4 linked regions of the Drosophila melanogaster genome follow. The protein of the gene in region 4 purifies or fractionates together with the protein of the main gene of each other region. This does not show direct contact. Each region holds a gene or a part of one and is shown on either strand. Other genes may lie near its edges.

The links.
Region 1: the proteins of p38c (region 4) and betaTub97EF purify together in Drosophila melanogaster (affinity purification with mass spectrometry, with the first as the bait; one large-scale study listed by BioGRID). This does not show direct contact.
Region 2: the proteins of p38c (region 4) and ps purify together in Drosophila melanogaster (affinity purification with mass spectrometry, with the first as the bait; one large-scale study listed by BioGRID). This does not show direct contact.
Region 3: the proteins of p38c (region 4) and P58IPK purify together in Drosophila melanogaster (affinity purification with mass spectrometry, with the first as the bait; one large-scale study listed by BioGRID). This does not show direct contact.

Annotation. Positions count from the first base shown.
Region 1 is NT_033777.3:27,985,340-27,990,210, forward strand, and holds the start of betaTub97EF (beta-Tubulin at 97EF), read right to left. Parts: upstream 3,046-4,871; 5' UTR 2,817-3,045; coding exon 2,760-2,816; intron 1-2,759. Other genes in the region: CG4815 (uncharacterized protein), read right to left, coding at 4,427-4,871.
Region 2 is NT_033777.3:9,430,874-9,435,653, reverse strand, and holds the start of ps (pasilla), read right to left. Parts: upstream 3,053-4,780; 5' UTR 2,933-3,052; coding exon of another isoform or gene 2,815-2,932; intron 1,389-2,814; exon of another isoform or gene 1,251-1,388; coding exon of another isoform or gene 1,232-1,250; intron 1-1,231. UniProt on the Drosophila melanogaster protein: Functions to regulate alternative splicing in neurons by binding pre-mRNA in a sequence-specific manner to activate exon inclusion.
Region 3 is NT_033777.3:9,585,044-9,590,090, reverse strand, and holds P58IPK (P58IPK), read right to left. Parts: upstream 3,150-5,047; 5' UTR 2,729-3,149; coding exon 2,632-2,728; intron 2,569-2,631; coding exon 2,455-2,568; intron 2,095-2,454; coding exon 809-2,094; 3' UTR 510-808; downstream 1-509. Other genes in the region: bocks (bocksbeutel), read left to right, coding at 1-361; CG8301 (uncharacterized protein), read right to left, coding at 4,050-4,135, 4,193-4,342, 4,405-4,875.
Region 4 is NT_033777.3:24,148,520-24,152,135, forward strand, and holds p38c (p38c MAP kinase), read right to left. Parts: upstream 1,685-3,616; 5' UTR 1,664-1,684; coding exon 593-1,663; 3' UTR 501-592; downstream 1-500. Other genes in the region: Slimp (Seryl-tRNA synthetase-like insect mitochondrial protein), read right to left, coding at 1-382; p38a MAP kinase, read right to left, coding at 2,083-3,183. UniProt on the Drosophila melanogaster protein: Kinase involved in a signal transduction pathway.

The sequences.
Region 1 (4,871 bases), 3.8 Mb from region 4:
GATAATTCAATTTTGTGCATTATTTTGGCGCTGCTCGATGATGCCCTGCCATTATGGGCCAAACAAACGTATCCTGGGGCAGACTATATGGGTGTGCCACACTGCATGCCACACTGGCTAAAAGGAGCCGTTGCAGCCTGGCTTATTCCACTCTTTAATTTTATTGTCTGTTCTTGCTTGACTTTCTCCGCTTTCCCCTTTTGCTCCCATTTTCTACGTTCTGCTCGTCTATAAATTTCTCCGCCATGGTGGCACAACGCTTTTCCTTCGGCTTTATGCCGTGCCCGTAAATAGATTTTCCTTGTTATTGTTCACAAAATGATTTAGGGAAAATTAGGTTTATGTAAATAATGAAGAAAAAGAAAAACGAACTCTAGCTGCAGGCCAAAATATCCTTGGATAGATGCCTTTGCCTCGCTCGATACATACATACATACATATGTGATCAATTTCGTGGTGTTGGCAGAGGAAGGCCGGAAGACGTTTTCGACGGCATTTTGCCATATTTAATCGAAGCCAAGAGAATGGCTTAAATTGCTGTCTGCCTTAAAATCGAATTGAACTTAACGTGATTCAATGAAAACATTATGTTTACAAAACATGCGTACGCTGCCGGGATTTCAATTGTTAAGCTCTGTTTTTATAATTACAATCCATTCTGTTTGCAGCCCGTTCATGTGTGAATAAGCTCTGCTCTTAATGTGTAATCAATCTGTTAAGTTTTTTTTTTTTATTTGCTTATTGGCCTTTATCAGCGGAGCAATTAGTTTTGAAAATTTATTTAAAAATCACATTCACCATTTACGCCATTCACCATTGTGCAAACTATTTTGCCACGTAGGCAGTTTTGCACATTTATTATTTGTTTATTCTAGGCTGCAACAATATTTCATACTGACAGCCAATTAATCAGAAAAGGACATTCAATTAAGGCACAAAATCGGGCAGTGTGCAAAAAAAAAAAAAAAAAAAAAAAACAACACAAGAGCATGAATAGGACATGCAACAAAATATGTTCGCCATTATTATATTCAAATTTAATGCACCAACAAACAGGCTTTATGCCATCTATAAAAATTCGATAAGCGCAAATTGCATAAATAATCGTATTTATTTTTTAACTGCACAATAGCTACACATAACAATGGCCGCAAAATATGGATGTAATAATGCTCTGATTCGGGGGCGTACAAAATCGGATGTTGGGCTTGGCTTATCCCGGAAAAGTGCGTTCTAATTAACTGCAAAAGGCAGTGGTGAAAACACGCAAAAAAGTACTTTAAAATATGTGGAAATGTGTTTGCATAAAACTCAAGAGGAAAAGCGCGCAATGCGAGCGCAAAGAGAAACGGTCAGAGAAAACTGCTCTGGGAAATGCCGGGAAAAAGACAAAAACATATAAAAAAAATAAGCATTATAAAAACAAAAACTGTGTCAAACGTCAACGACTTTTTGTAGCTGGATTTTCATGACGCAGCAAATTGTGCGAGTTAATGTTAATGCGCTGAATTAGCTTAGAATGGGCGCTGTTTTCATTTCCACTCCTCTAATTGCCCGCAAACATGCTGCCGCTTTTCTACTCAAAATACCAGAACACACTATGTAATTGCTATTTTCGGCGCAACCCATATCAGTTCTTACTTTTCGGGTATTTATGTTTAAAGTTGTGTAAACAAGCCCACTGATTAGAGGCCGCCGATAGTGAAAGCAGCGCACACATAAGCCCGCCACTTTGTCACAGTCAGCCATGAATCAGATACATATATCGGTTCAAGATACAGATACATTATTTACAAGCCCCTCTGTCGTAATTAGAAGTACCCACGAAACCTTCGACGAGTTCTTTATGACAGTAAGATCAGCCAACTGTGCGAGGGCAAACATCATAAAAGCCTGTGAAAAGTACTAGTTTACAGAACCAGTTAGTTGTGTTAATTGTCCAAAAGACGGAAGTTTCTGAGAAACCTTCGAGCCAGTTTCAAAATGCTACTAACAGGGCACTAAGCTGCCGCATTTTACTCTGAGTTCCCGCCAAAAATACTTGGTTCACAGATCGGATTTCTTGAAACGAGAAACCTCCAGGTACACTGAAAAAAAAATATCAACTTCTATTCTATAATAACAAATGAATAAAAAGGATCTGTAATTCAATTTTAAATCATAATTGTGTTTAAATGGAAACTACTTTATAACGATTAAATAATCATATAAAGTTTATTTATCTTTTTAAAGGTACTACTTTTTTTCTTGCTGTGCAGATTTGCATAGCCGGCTGATCACAAGCTCTCAACTGAGCGGCGATCTAATTGTTTACACCTGACTGAGGTGATTTTGCTTAGTTTGCGAGCGGATTTCTGGGTTTAATTCACTGCGATATGCTGCGAGTCCAAGGTAATTTAAATGCGATACTTTAAGGTTGCTGATATTCGTATCTTGCGAGCGATAAGATAAGTGCCAAGTACGTTAGGTTTCTTCAATGTTTTGCAGTTTTATAGTTTCCCGAACTGGCAAAATAATCTATGCCACCCCCCACCAACCCCCCACCCATTTTAATTGCTGGCCACTAAAAACAAAACGTGAAAAGCCAAGAGAGAGAGAGAGAGAGAGAAAGTCGCAGTGAGAGAGGCAAAGAGCGCTCTTTCTTCATTTCCCCCTGTTTTATAATTAAACATGTGAGGTTAGGATAGTAGCGAAAAGTAGCTATAAAATAGAGCAAAGGTCTGTGATGCGAACACCGATGGAATATCAATTATACGCACCTTCGAACCGATCTGATTGCCGCACTGGCCCGCCTGCAGATGCACAATTTCCCTCATTTCGCAAATGAACTAGTAACTTTTGGCAGCCAAACTTAACTCAATTGAACACACTGACGCACACACGCACTATCAGCAATTATCAGCCACTATATCAATCTGAATCTGAATCCGAATCTGAGTCACAATCGGTCACGCATTCGGTTGAATCCGGTGAAGAGTCGGAGGAGAGCTTTTCGTGAGCAGAACGATCGACACGCGTTCGCTTTGAGAATCCAACGTGAACTGAATGAATGGCGAGAAACCGAACGCGACCCGCTGGGGAATTTGTGCTCTACGGTTAAAGGGGGCCGCATTAGTTTTCCACTCGGAAAAATATTTATAAAAAAATGCCTTTACAAATTGGCATGATAAGAAATGATAAAATTATGGTTTGCAATCTTAGATTAATATATTGTAGATAGTTTTGGTGATGTATTGAATTTAGTATAACAATTTTTCATATCAAACAGATGATCAGAGATCAGAGTTCTAAAAATACAAAAGTTTTTACAAAGAAACTTTTGTTACTCTTAAAAATTATAAATATTATAGTTGTAATAACGTGCTGCTGTTATCTTGGGCACAGCTGTATATACATTTTTAGAGTCCCTATAAAACAGGTTTATTTTATTAAACAGGTTATTATTTTTTTTTTACAGGTGGAACATTTCATTAATACATGACCCAAATTACATCAATACTTTAGATAAAGATTATTAATTAGAACGTTGGTTATGTTTAAAACAATGCCTCTTAAATGATGAACAATAAAAACAAATTTCATTCGAAAACCTATGAATACCCGAACCATTTATTCATGCTAAGTTCCTCTTCATTAGTGAGTATATTTATTTGAATCACTATCCAAAATTGCGGCAATATCTTCCCTGATTTCTCGAAGTGCAGAGAGCGCGAAGAGCAGAGGTCGTAAATACATTAGTTTAAGTGAAACTGTGGGACAAAACAAGATATTTTCCATAGCAGCGTGTTTGTCTTCCCGCTTTTCCCGACTTTTCCCCTTTATCGTATGATTTTTACCGGCTAGGCGCCAACAATGCAATTCTTTCTCTCCCATCTTACGCTTCGCTGAGCTGGTGAGAATTCTTAGGGAAAAGATAGAGAGAGGGGAGAGAAAGAAGAGAGTCGAAGAATGAGGTAACAGCACGTGAGTCTAAGGTGCAAAGAGCGCCACATTCTACATTCTACAACTGCATTCTTCAATCAGATTTGTAGAATTGTACATGGACGTACAAGATTGAAATGTAGCCAAATGTAAAAATGTAATTGAAATATATAAAGTTAGTTGTTTGAGTATTGAACATATATTTTATTATATGCTATTTAATCAGTATATTTTTGTTTTCCAATTACAACCTTGTAAATCATAGAATCGTAGCTTGAACAAACCAAACTTATCTACATGAATAATTGGAAGCGGTTTAGTTAGTCATTTTAGACATCTAGGTTATCAGCTTCATGAGATTGACAATAAAAAACGCTGCTGAAATGGAATAACATGAAGTCTGTCGAGTCACACACACTTAATACCAGTTTAAAATTTAATTTATGACTAAGTTGTAAACTTAGATAGACAGTATTTTTATTTTGTGATACTCAAATAAATTTCTTCAAAAGCCCATTCTGTTAATAGTTCTTTTAATAAACTTGGCGTAGTATCGCACACCCATGTATACGTCTGGCTTTTCGTTGTTGCCGCATTTGAAAGTCCACGTGTTGATGCCACAAACTTGCCGCCCCAACAGAAGTGGTCCACCGGAGTCGCCGAAGCAGAGAGTCTTGTTGTTGTAGGCACCGGCACAGATGATATTGGGTGGCATCTTGCGATCCAGCTGCTTCTCGCAATCTCGTTTACTCACAATACCAACTTTCATCGAGCGAAATGTTTTCTTCCTGGACTCATCCCAAACGCCGCCTTCGAATCCCCAACCGGCTGCAATGAGTTTATCCCTTGGATGCAGTACCGATCGACAGAGCTGGGCGTAGCCGATGTACTTGCTCCTCAAGGGATACTTGGTCTTCGCCACCGCGACATCCGCGATGAATTTCATTTTC
Region 2 (4,780 bases), about 15 Mb from region 4:
CGAGGCAACCAACCCAGTTCTACAGGACCCACCACTCAAGGACGTTGCTGCTGCGTTTGCGGCTGCTGCGGCTGCATCGGCTGCTGTGGCAGCTGCAATGGCGCCAAATGCTGCAGTGCAGCTGAATGGTCGCCGCGTTCGAGGAGTTCGAGTCGTCCTACTGCGCAGGACCCTTCCTAGACGAAAAGCACCGAGCAAAGGCAGGCAGGCAAGCAGCGATGGCAGCGGAGCGACCACAGGCACACACAGATACAGATACAGATACACGTACGCACCCGCATTGTCATCAAAGTAGGTCAACCGCTTGCCATGCTGTCAACGTTTGCCGAGAGCAGCTCTCGCTTCTCTCTCTTACGGCGAACTAGAGTTCGCTACAGTATACACCCCCAACTATTCGCACGCTTTTCCAGCTGCCCTGCCAGTACTGATTACATAAGCCACGCCACCAGTCGTCCAAAACCTCCACGCTGACCCACCGCCCCGATTTTCCTCGATTTTACTGCATTTCCTTTGCAGCAGCCCCGCCAACTGACGCATTTCTAGTCCAGGCTACACGGAAAACAATAAGTCAAAAAAAAATTAAGTATATGGTAAAGAGTTGAATTCTTGCTTAAAAGAATTGTTGACAAAAAGTTGTTTGAATTTCCTAACTTCTTTGGATTAAACTTTAAAACCTTACACCTTAAATACTTATTAGAATTTAAGAAGATTATTTTTCTCTGTGCATCTCAAAAACTTTGCGCTGCTCTCTCACCAACCAGCTACACAGAATTCCAGCCATGACAGTCATAAATAAGAAAAAACTGAAAAAATTAAATAGATAGCACACAAAAAACAAATGACTGTCAAGGCAGCTAAGCAAATAAATTGCCAGAAAACTAATAAAACGACGACGTGAGTAAATACCCAAAACCATATGACATGGACCTGTTCTCTGTCCAGCAAACAGGCAGCCTCAATGGTGGCTAATTAATTACAAATGCCCAGCTGTACACATACATGTAACGAATCTATTTATCTGGGCTCATCTATAATGCCATCGGTTTGAATGGAAACTGGCCAAACAAACAGCTGATAAAATGGCATTGTTCATAAGCAAACAAATTCTTAGGCAGAACTAACCCATTAACTATGGATGTCCCCGAGCATATAATATAGTGTCTGCTTTAATGAATGGAGTGGAGTATATGGAAATAAGTTATATTTGCCTATTTAACGAACTTGAACTTACTCGAACAAAGCTTCCGCATTCCAATTCACGAGATAAAACTTAAAATTTTTGATGCAACATTAAGACAACACTGGAATTTTGTTTTATTTTCTGTAGATATTTTTTTTTTTGGGATTTTAACACTTGACGTATTTGAGAGAGCCTGCTGTGATGAACGAAAACCGAGGACTAATCTACCCTTCATAATTTCCAATTGACAATTAGGAAACTCGAAAACACGTTTACACGCTTCTGGCTCTAGCCACTGCTATCCGTCTAAATACCAAAAGCCAGCGGGGGCGACAGTGCGACTCTAACACTTACACCTTTTGCTATTTTCGTGGCTATGACGACAGGTACTTCGATTGCGTAGTGGCATGCTCACCTTGGAGCTTGCCAGCTGGTTTTGAGCCGAACAAATCATGCAAAGCAACTAGTTAATAGCTTGTGGTCAGACCGACTGACCGACAGACTGACTGACAGACAGGCAGTATGGGTTTGGCAATGGAGCTCACGGATTGGGAGCTTCTTCTTTTAAATGCTAATCTCCATATGAATTTTTGTGACCCCCTCGGCTGTCCCGACTGCAGTTCAGTTTGTCGGATGAGTGAAGCAGGGAGGAGCTTTTCAAATGCCATTCGTTTGGACGTTCAGGGACGTGCACGGACAGCACTTGTATCTAATTGCAGGCCATTGATGAAGCTGCAGGAGATTGCAGGCGGAGGTCATGCCCAAAATTGGGTCAAACTGGGCCCACAATGTCTCGGCGCCAAATCCTGCGCAAAGATACAGCCGCCAGCCAGGCAGATACTACACTAGGTACTAGATACCGCTGTATGCCATATAACAGATGCCAGTTGTCATTTTAAGATGTACACTGTAGCTGTGTACGTGTAGAGGGGGCCCTCGGGGCGTATACGCCATATCTGGCTTAATTACGAATCAAAGTCTGCTGCCTGTTCGTTCGTTCGTTGGTTCGTTTGTTCGGTTGCAAAACTGACATCGAACGTATTGGGGGCAAACTGCAAATGAATTTCTCGTGCTGATTAATTGAATCTGAATAACAAACGACAACAGCAACAATAAATAACACGAGCGACAAACGACTAAAAGAAAAAAGTAAGAAAATCATAGATACTAAGTATATATATACATAGATATATGTAGGTACGCATATCGGGGGGATATATTGTGATAACAACAACAACAACAACAACATGACCACATAATAAAGAAGGGAAACGGCACGATCGGCAGAAAAGTTGGGCAAACAAATTGAATCAGTTATTTATACGCTTCGGAGATAAAAAAGCAATGGATAGATAAATAGATAACGAACGAGAGATAGATATACACAGAGCGTCGAGTTGAGGAGCTTAAGATTGATATTGAAACTGAGATTGAGATCGAGATTGAGATTGACAGAGAGAAAAAGAGAGAGCACGATAATGGGGATATGCAAGAGCGATTTGAGATATATATTTCAATTTCTTCCTTCTGCTGGCGAAATGAATTGAGTTTCGATTTCGATATTGATTTCGATTTGAATTTGAATTTGATTTTGAATTTTGATTTGGATTTGGATTGGATTTTGGTCAACTTACCGGAACTGAAATGTGAGCGTTTAGTTTGTTCATTTTCCGGATCGGAATCGAGTGGCCTTTTGCGTGAGTCGCCGGTTTCAGGACTTGGACATGTCTCCATGGTAGCGTCTTCGGCCATTTTTAACTGAATGTTGCTGGTTTTGGTTATCGACTTTGACTGATGATTGCTTTAGCTTTTTGCTTTGGGTTTCGTTGATCTGTTGATCTTACTGTTTACTTTTCAGTTTCTATGTCTCGTGGATTCGGCTTGATTTAATTTAATTGGATCTTGGATTGGATTGGATTGGCTTGGACTTGATTTGATTGAATTGAATTTGGTTGCTGTGCTTCTGGTTTTTTTTTTTTTTTTTTTTGTTAAACGACAACGAAACGTTCGATGTTTGGTAATGAGGCGTCTGTTTAGCTTTGTATTATTTGGTTTTTGGCTTGCTTGGTATTGTTTCTGGTATTTCTGTTTGGTTTTTTTGGTGCGTGCGAGCGAAAGAGCGATAGAGCGAGCGAGCGAGCGAACGAACGATCAAACGAGCGCAGGATGCGTCAGTCACTGTCCTTTAGTCCTAGTCCTCGTCCTCGTCCAATGGATGCGATGTAATTCGATTCGATGCCTTTATCGGGGGGAATCCGCCACTGGCATCTGTGAGATTGATGGGCTATGTGGATGAGGTCCTTGGTCCTTGGGTACGCTACTGATGCTGCCACTCATGCACACACATGGAGGTACAGCTATCGATCGCTATCAGTGACAGAGACAGTTCGTGTACGTCGCTATATATGCATATGCACATATATTGATACTCTATTTACGATCCTTCTATGTTTCAGTTTTAATTTCATTTAGTTTTTTATTTTTAGTTTTTGTTTGGTGGTTTTGTGGTGGAATGTGCGAGTTTTTTTTTTTAACGTTTATATGAAAAAAGAAAAAGAAAAAAATATTTATGAGTGAATTATGCAGCAATAATAAATATACATACAGTAAACATTTAGGCAATATATAGGTATGTTCTTCGCATTAAACTTGTAGATATAGATACAGTTGTCAGAGTGGCAATGCATTTTTCGAGTAGTAAAACACACACACATTTAGATAGGCACAAACATTTAAATTGGATCGATTTGATTTGATTTGTCTTGATCTTTCGTCTTCAAAAAAGCTATTTACAAAACGAGCAAGGCATCTTGCGAGATTGGTGGAAAAAAGGGGCGTGGCGGGATTCGGGTTGGACTGGGCGGATCTTTCAAAAGCGTGGATCGTGTTAGGCATTCACATATCAAAACGATACCGGGGCAGGCAGATGTGGGATAGAGACAGATCGGTTTGAAGCAATCTTGTGAGCGTTGAGAACGTGTAATAATGGAAAGCAGACGACAGGATGAATTACAGGAGTCCGCAGAAATAGTTTTGAAAGCAGGCCCCCTATAAGAAAGGATCCCGTGTGTGTGTATGAGGTTAGAAGGTCTGCGAAAACTCGGTACCTACACCTTATATTTAGGATCTTACAGCTACCTATTTTATTTGTTACTATAATACTGATTATACTGATTACTTAATCCGTTGAGTTCGACATAATGCTGGCCAATTTAAAATGTTGAGAAATCCTGCCGTACCGCGATGCTAATAATAACTCACTCTACTGCGCTTATGAATCGTTAATTTAAATTTGTTCCACCTAAGACCTATCTAAACGAGTCCGTACCCACGAAGCAGTTTTAGTTACTTATGAATACCTGAGCCAGTTTTGTTTTTTTTTTTTCATAATGGCATGGCAATGAAGCCCCAACTTGCAACTCAATTATGCATGAGATGTTTTATTTTATTATGATTTCATTGCTAATTAAAAATGCGACGACACAAAAACCGAAGCGCGACCAACAGAAACAGCAACAACAAAATCTGCATCAACGACTGACGACGCGCGTTTATTTGTTTAAAATGGCGTTTAATTATACAAACATTTTTATATGTTAT
Region 3 (5,047 bases), about 15 Mb from region 4:
AGTTAGTGGATCCAATCTGGCCCGTGGTCGCCTGCTCCAGCCGACCACCGCAGTAAACACTCTATATCCACAACTAAATGAATTCTACGATCAGCCGAATGACGCAGGCGAACCCATGGAGACGGAGAGCGAGTCCGAAGTCGAGGAAGTACCCATCAATAGCCATTTCCAAAAGAATCGCTTCTCGCCGCTGGCTAGAAAACCTCTGGTAAGACACCACGATCAGGTTTCGCCTATGGCGCAGTTCCGTGCACTGGCGGTGTCATTGGATCAAAAATATAATCTCAAATTCTACTTAATATTGGTAGTGTCAGTGATGCTGGCCACCATGGTGTACGTGGTATTGACACCCAACGCCTGAGAAGCGTTCATATCGCGGAATACATTTGGTTTTGGTTACTCCACGCATTTCAACCACAGACTACAGCGAAGGAATATTTATGACGACTTTGCACCTTAAGACTACTACTTCAATTCCAAACATGTTCAAAACTAACAAATATTCAACTCAATTTGCCAAGTCTTTAATTGCTTGTTCTCGCATATTGTTTCTTTTTATACATAATTAGAAAAATGTACTACATTATAATTATTGTATTGTATTAAATAAACTAATTAAATGTAAGTGCTCAGTGTGTTTTGTTGCGATTTGTGTTTGTTTGTGGTACTCTCTGACAACGGACCATGGGTTTATTTATGCTTTATGCTACTATTTACACGCCATTTAAATGAACAAAACAGTGTAAAATCGTTAAAGGATATCGGGGATCGCGGCTAGGACATCACAAAGCAAATGGCTGCTGGCTGACTAATTGAAGTGGAACTTGAACTGGAACGGCGACCCGTGTTGGAAGTGTCCAAACGGATGTTCGCCATGGAAGCCGCCACGCTGATTGCTCTCAGGATCTAATGGATCCTCGCCGTTGTCGAATTGACGACGCTTCTCGGGATCCGTGAGAACCTCCTTGGCTGCGGCAATGTCAATAAACTTTTTCTCGGCCACCTTCTTTTCCTCGTCGCGGAAGTTGTCCGGATGCCACTTTTGCGCCGCCTTCCTGTAGGCCTTCACAATCTCCTGTTTGCTGGCGCTACGCTTAACGCCTAATATCTTATAGTAATCCCTGCGCTCTGACTGCTTCTGCAGCTTCTTTGCCCTCTGGATGCCTTCTTTAGCGCGGGTGTTGCTCTCTTCCAGGTCGAGAGCTGCTTGGAAGGAGTGTATGGCATCGTCGTACATTTCGGTGCCCAGCAATGCGTCAGCACGATCACAGTAGACCTGAGCATCCTTCATAATATCCAGTGCCTCCTTGCACTGTTGCAAAGCCTTGCCAAACTGCTCGTCGCCCGTGTAGCAAGTGCAGAGCACCTTGTGTCCCTCATACCGGATCATCGTCTCCTCCGGCTCGTTACGCAGGACTGCCTCTCCGGCGGCTATGCACTCGGCAAAATGCTTCTCCTCACGCGCTTGCTCTGCGTTAACCAGCTGCTTTTCCACCTTTCGTAGTTTCTTGTAGAAGGGGAAGCAGAGCTTGTGTTCCGGGTCGAACTTCAGGCACTCGCGGATCTCTTTTAAGGCATTTGTGGCGTGGCCAATTGTGTACAGCAGCTGTGCAATCTTGTAGTGACCCTCAGTGCTGTCCTGGGTGAGTCGGTTCACCTGTCGCAAGTCAGCAATGGCTAACAGTGGATCATTGATTGCAATGTAGGCATCAGAGCGAGCCTGCCGGAAGGGCACAGCCCACGGCGAGATCTCTAGCAACTGTGTGATCATGGGGATGGCGTTTTGGTGATCACTGTATTGGATCAGCTGCTGTACAAGGACCCACTGCTCCTGGGCGGGTGCCAAGCGGGAATAGTGCTCCAGCACCAAGCCGTTGTTGGGTTCCTCTTGAAGGACTTGATCAAAGTCCTGGATCGCTTGCTCGTACTCTCCGCTCTTCATGTGCACAACACCCCGCTGGATTCGGGCGGCCATAAAGTCTGGCTTCAGTTCCAGCACCCTGCTGAAATCCTGGACGGCAAAGCGCGTCTTGCCCAGCGCCAAATAGACGGTGCCGCGCTTGAAAAGCGTCAGATAGTTGTTGGCATCGCCCTCTGTGAAAATGATAATGGTTAAATCAATGACGAGGGCATAGAAAGGCTAAAAAATATCCTAGCACAAATGAATGTAGTCCTAAACAAAAGTTTACCAAATTAATGTTATCATCAAATTCAAGACAAAAGATACAAGTTTGTTTATTGACCTTGGCATTTGCAAAACATGGTTATGTTTTAAACCATACGATTCTATGATTTGTTAATCAAAAATAATTAAAATCTTTATAAAATATTTAGATTCGTTGCCAATGGACACTTTTGAACGCGATGTTATGTAAATTCACGTGAATTAAAGAATATAAATGTATTGTCATAGATATTCCGATTCTTTCGTGTGTACAAGCCAGTTATATTTACCAACAGCTGCATGGTAGTGCGTCAGTGCATCCGACAGCTGTCCGCGGGCGAGGAACTCCTTGCCCAGCTCCAGATGGTTCTCAATATCCGCTGGACTGGCCGTCGACTCGGCGCCTGAGCGAGAAACAATGACGTGTATTTCAGATGCCTTCGAAGATAAGGATTTGAAGTACGTACCTTCCAGGAAGAGCTCCAGCAGGAGCAGCACCAGGCAGGCAGCCAATTTCTTCTCGCCGCCGCCGATCATGAGCAGGTCACTCAATGGCAAGGCCATGACGATGGCTACGTGTACTTAGATGCCCCCGCAAAAAACCAGTGTGGGCGTGATTTGGAGTTGATTCCCAATCGACACGCACGTCGAATCTGCTTGGCGTGGCAGCTTCTAATCTCTACGGTCGCACCGCTTCCCCTCCTGCACATCAACTTTCACTGGCGGCTTTATTTTCAGCTCGCTGTTATGGATTTTGCGTCCGTTTTTGGTAAACTTGCGGCGCCGTCTGCGATGATTATTCGGTAATTTCTGACTTGGTCAGCTGATTGTTTTGACTGTCTGTGTGTTATGGAGTTTAGATGGTACTCCCCATGGGCATTGCAGCCACTTCTAGTTCGGAATCGCGACCGCTGTGCACTGAACTTTTCGCTTATAAATATTATAAACTAAAAACTGACGTGTTCACGTTCTCTAGGGATGGGCGAATTTTGGCCGCAGGTGATACAAGTCACTGGTTCTTCACGCAGTCACGAGTCGCAACTATCGGATGTGGGCGACGGCAGTGCTGGCAGCTTTTGGCTGTTGTCTAGCTACAACTGATCAAAAGAAATTTCATAATAAATGAAGTAAATTATTTAGATCGCACTACACAAGTCATTAAAGTAGAACTAGCTTTTTGACGCTATTTTAAAGCTAGTTCTGCAATCATTGCAAAAAGCTGTCTAAACCAATCGATTTCTGCCGCCCAACTAAAAAAGTAACGGCAATTCAAACTTTGGTCACATGAATGTTTATTCGGAACATGAATTTGGTAAATATATCTGCAACTACACATAATAAAATCCATAGTATATTGATATTTTAAATATTCTTATACATTTTCGGTAATTATTGTAAATACTTATCGGTTTCATCTGGAAATAAATGCATTTCTTGAGCATTAAAAGTTCGCCGCGAAGCTTAGATTGCTCGTATAACATCTTGTATGTTCTCATTGCTTATTTCTTATCGCTAAGTGGTCAAATGGATATATGTATGTATGTGCTGGTAGTGTTTAAAGGCGTTCTGTGAGATTAATATGGCTCAGAGTTAGAAAGAGATATGCGGCTGGAGTGCCTTAGGGACCGATCGAAGAAATGGACAGAGATATAGCTATATGGTTTATGCCCTACGGAATATCCACTAAATAAAGCTCTAAGCACTTTCACGTTCCAGAGATCGCTGCGTGTGTGCATATGGTCTAGTAAGTGTAATTGGATGGAGGGTACATGTATGTATATGGTCTATGTAAGCTTGAGTTTCGGGAGCTACGCTCCAATGCATTGCAGTTTCTGCACTGTGCTTGGCTACAACAGAAATCTATGCTGTTTGCTGTTCCACTTGGTTAGGAAATCACAATGTTGATCAGATCGTCCAGAGGCTGGTCCGCCGAGTGCGGCTGAGAGGCGGCGTGTGCCTTTTGCATGTGAGCTGGAAGTGATGTTCATCTATATGGAAGGGCATCATTGAGTGATTTCGCATACATACTCTTGAGCTTAATGTGCGTGACAAATCTTTCCTGACAGAGATCGCATTTGTAGTAGGTTTTGCCCGTGTGAGTTCGCTGATGCAGCCGCAATGACTTCTCAAACAGATAGGCTCGACCGCAAACGTTGCACTTGAAGTTCTTCTCCAAGACTGTAAAAGATTGATGTATTACATGTTTCTAATAATACATATGTACATGTGGACATCCTTACCCTCGTGACTCAAGCGATGCTGGGTGAGCACATACTTGAGGGCGAATGCCTTGCCGCAAACATCGCACACATTGGGCTTCTCCTTCTCGTGGGTCTTGATGTGCCACTTCATGTCCTGGGCGCGCTTGAACCGCTTGGAACAGTGCGGGCAGGCGTGCGGTCGATCCTTCTCGGAATGCACGGCAGCGTGCCGCTCCAGAGCGGACTTCATGTTGAACCTCTGGCTGCAGCTGCCGCACTGAAAGAGTCCGGAGTACTGGCGTTCCCGCTTCTGTTGCAGCACCCGTTTGTTGTTCGCTATGATGGGAGCGCCAGGACGCTGCAAGTGCTCCGCGGACATGTGGTGGATCAAATCCGGTTCGCTGGAGAAGGGCTGGCGGCACAGCATGCACTCACTCCGCTCGATGGCAGTCAGGTTCTCCCTGTGCCGCTCCAGCATGTGAATCCTTTTCTCCGCATAGGATGCAAAGACTGTTGGGATTGGACAAAAATGGGTTTAGCATCCATTGGCACATAGATAACGGATGGCTAGTCGTAGAGGGTGTCATGAAGTAGAAAACTCGGAAAAATGTATCGTCCTGAAGGTAGGAAGTAAAGTTGGTGAAGAAAAATAAAACTGTGGTAACGTAATGGATGAAATTCC
Region 4 (3,616 bases):
CCTTTAGCTCATTGCGCAACGATTTCCCATGCTCTTTCAACTCCTCCAGCTGAACCGCACTACTACCAGATTTCGTTAGCTCCTTTAGGCGCTTGGTCACCCTTTCGCGTTCCTCCGCCACCTTGGACAGCTGAGCGTGATGTGTTTTATACTTCTCGTACTTGCTGAGCACAGTTTCCAAACGAATGTCCAATCCCCGGCTGGAGATGCTCTGCTCCAAAAATTGCCGCTCTCCAAAGGTTTTATTGAAGTCCATGTACGGCTGCAGAGTCACATAGTTTTCGTTCGCTTTATCGCCGGTTATGTACAGCGCGGAGATGTTTCTGCTACACGTTTTCTTTGCCGAAAGGCAGTGTTTTAATACACTTCGCAGGCTCAACATTATTTTTATTATCGAATGCAAAATAAAATAAGCCGGTAAGGCAAAATCAGCTGTCGCCAGCGCTGCCAGATCCGGAAGATTTAATAGGGGTATTTCAATGATTTCAATGTTTAAATTTATGAATATCCAGTTTTTAATTTAATTTTGTGAAAAATTTGTTCATTTAATTAATTTAAAATTTATTACTTCTGCTACATTAACTACGGCATTTTAAAAATGCAAATCAAGTTGGTCAGGTCTGAAGTTCCGAATCTCGTGGGAAACAAGTTCTTTCCAGCATTTTACAGGCAGTACCATGTTTTCGAAGTTCTGATCATAGACTGGTGCGGTGTCTTCGGCATGATGGTGTGGCTCAATAAGATCCCGAAGGTATGGATGGAGCATTGCTTCCGCAGCTGTGATACGTTTTTCGGGTACCATTTCGAGCATTTTTTCCATCAAATCGATGGCCTGGACATCGTAACCCATAAACAGGTGATGAAAATCGCACCTTTGTCGTAACGGGTACCCCTCCAGGTAATTACGCGAACGTTCCATGCTTATCCCGGTGATAAACTCCCTCGTCGGAGTACCCATTATGTTAATCAGACATCGTATTTGGCTTACATAGTTTTCACCGCGAAACAGGACACGATCCGTGATAAGTTCCGCCAGAATGCAACCAACCGACCACACGTCAATTGCCTTTGTGTATTGACCCCTTAAAAAGATAATTTCCGGAGCTAGATACCACATAGTTCCAACATGGTCCGTCATTTTGTCTGCGCACATACGGGATAAACCGAAGTCAAGTATGCGCACCTCGCTATTTCCATTAACTGCGATATTGCAGGGCTTTAAGTCTCGATGAACAACCCCGGCACTATGTATGTACTTCAGTCCCCGCAGTATTTGGTAAAGGATTATCCTAATCTCTTGATCGCTCATCCTTTTCGAACGCGAGTACCTGTGCAAATCCGCGTCCATCAGGTGAGTCACCAAATAAACCTGCTGAAATTCCATCATGTTGTGCGCTGGTGGATGGAAGACGTTCAGCAGGCTGATAACATTTCGATGATTCATGTGCTTCAGCAGACGGATCTCGCGATAGGTACCCTTAGCATCCTCCTCCCTCTCGAATGGGCGCATAAGCCTTTTCATAGCGAAGTAATTTTCAGTGCCTCGTAGTCTCACCTTAGCCACCTGGCCAAAGGAACCGCCACCCAGAAAACGAACGAACTCGTATATATCCGGGAACTCCCAAAGGCTTTCGTTAATTGCCACTCTCACGAACTCCGGCATTCTGGATTAAATGTGCAAAAATATGTCTTCTACGAAAGGAAACAGAAAGAAAACTGAGCTTGCATTTAGTCACCCGCTAAACTCTTATCTTTTCTCAACACCTTATCTATCAGTGCACATTCGACTGACAGAACACTAAACTTGTTCGATTCAGTCATCTGTATGACCGGAGATACACACATATGCTATAGACCCAAAGATCCTGCCCAAGAGGTGACAAAAATAAGGTTTTTAGTTGAATAACTTGATGTTTTTATAAAACAAATTTTTTGTTAAATAAGCAGTAAGCAGCAAAAAAACAAAATAAAAAGTTAACACTAAGAATTGATAAATTTGAGTACAAAAGACATGGTTGGAACATAAAGGCTATAACAAATAAATTGGCCTATGTAATACTTTAAATTCTTGATGGTTTGTGTTCACTTTACATCCTTTAGAACCTGAGCATACGATGGTGGGGGCTTAAAGTTGGTGACCTCCTTGTAGATCAATTCCTTCCATTTGTCTACGGGCAAATCCATATCCTCGAAGCTGTGATCGTATGGTGGTGAGGTCTGCTCGACGCTGGGCTCCGCATACTTCTCCAGATATGGATGGGAAAGAGCCTCCTCGGCTGTGATCCGCTTTTCGGCATCTAGCTCCAACATCTTTTCCAGCAAATCAATGGCCAGCGGATTGGCGTTCTTAAAAACATTTTTAAAACTTCGTCCCTTCATAGGCGGAAGTGACTGGATGTAGGAACGTGCACTTTCCGATGAGATCTTCTTCAAAAATTCGGCGGGTGGCGTGCCCAACATCTCCATAATCAGGTTTAGCTGGTGAATATGGTCGGTGCCTGGGAAGAGGGTTCGTCTGGTAATTAGTTCGGCCATGATGCAGCCCACCGACCAGATGTCCACTGTTTGGTCGTAGTGCATCCAATTGAGCATTATTTCAGGTGCCCGGTACCAACGCGTGGCCACATAGCCTGTCATCTCGTTCTCCGTTGGGCGGGCCAGCCCGAAGTCTAGAATGCGCAGCTCGCAATCCTCGTTGACGGCAATGTTTGAGGGCTTAAGATCACGGTGGATCACTCCGGCGCTGTGGATATACTTCAAGCCACGGAGTATCTGGTAGACTAAAAACTGGACGTGGTCGTCGGACAAGTGCTGCATCCGTATGATGTTGTTCAGATCTGCGTCCATCAAGTGGGTAACCAAGTACACCTGTTGGAAGTTCTCCAGCGATCCATTAGCGGGATGTGGATGGAATATGTCCAGCAGACCGATTACGTTCTCATGATCCATATGCTTTAAAAGTCGAAGCTCCCGGTACGTCCTCTTTGCATGGACAGCTGATTGAAAAGGCCTGGCAAGCTTTTTAATGGCCACATGCATATTGGTGCCACGAACAACTGCCTTTGACACCTGTCCGTAAGCTCCCGATCCCACGGGCTGCAGATCCTGGTATATATCCGGGATCTCCCATTCCGTTCGATTTATATCCAACTTGTAAAACTTTTTTGTAATGGACACTGACATGGTATTGCTTGAGGAAGGGCGTCGTCACCTTAGTTAATGGTGCCTATAAGCGAGATATGTATTGATTCTTAAAATGCCATGCGAACGATAATTCCATGCTGATTACGTTTATCTTGAGGCAGCTCTGCGTCAGTAGTACTTACCTCTGTTCCACGCCCAAGAATATCAACAACTAAGTACTGGTCCCTGGCATTTTTCCTATATTTGCGCTATTACTCCATTCCGATGCGTGTTAGGCATTCATGAATCAGATCGTCAGTGGATCAGATCGATCAGAAGCGACACACGAATGCGCTACATTTGATCAGAGTAAAGTTGTTAAAATCATTTTTGGCACGATATTAAAAAAAATCCTTAATATATAAGTAAATAAATAAAATAATATATTAACCATATCATTGCATTGTAACAAGTCTCTTTTTCCACTCTTATC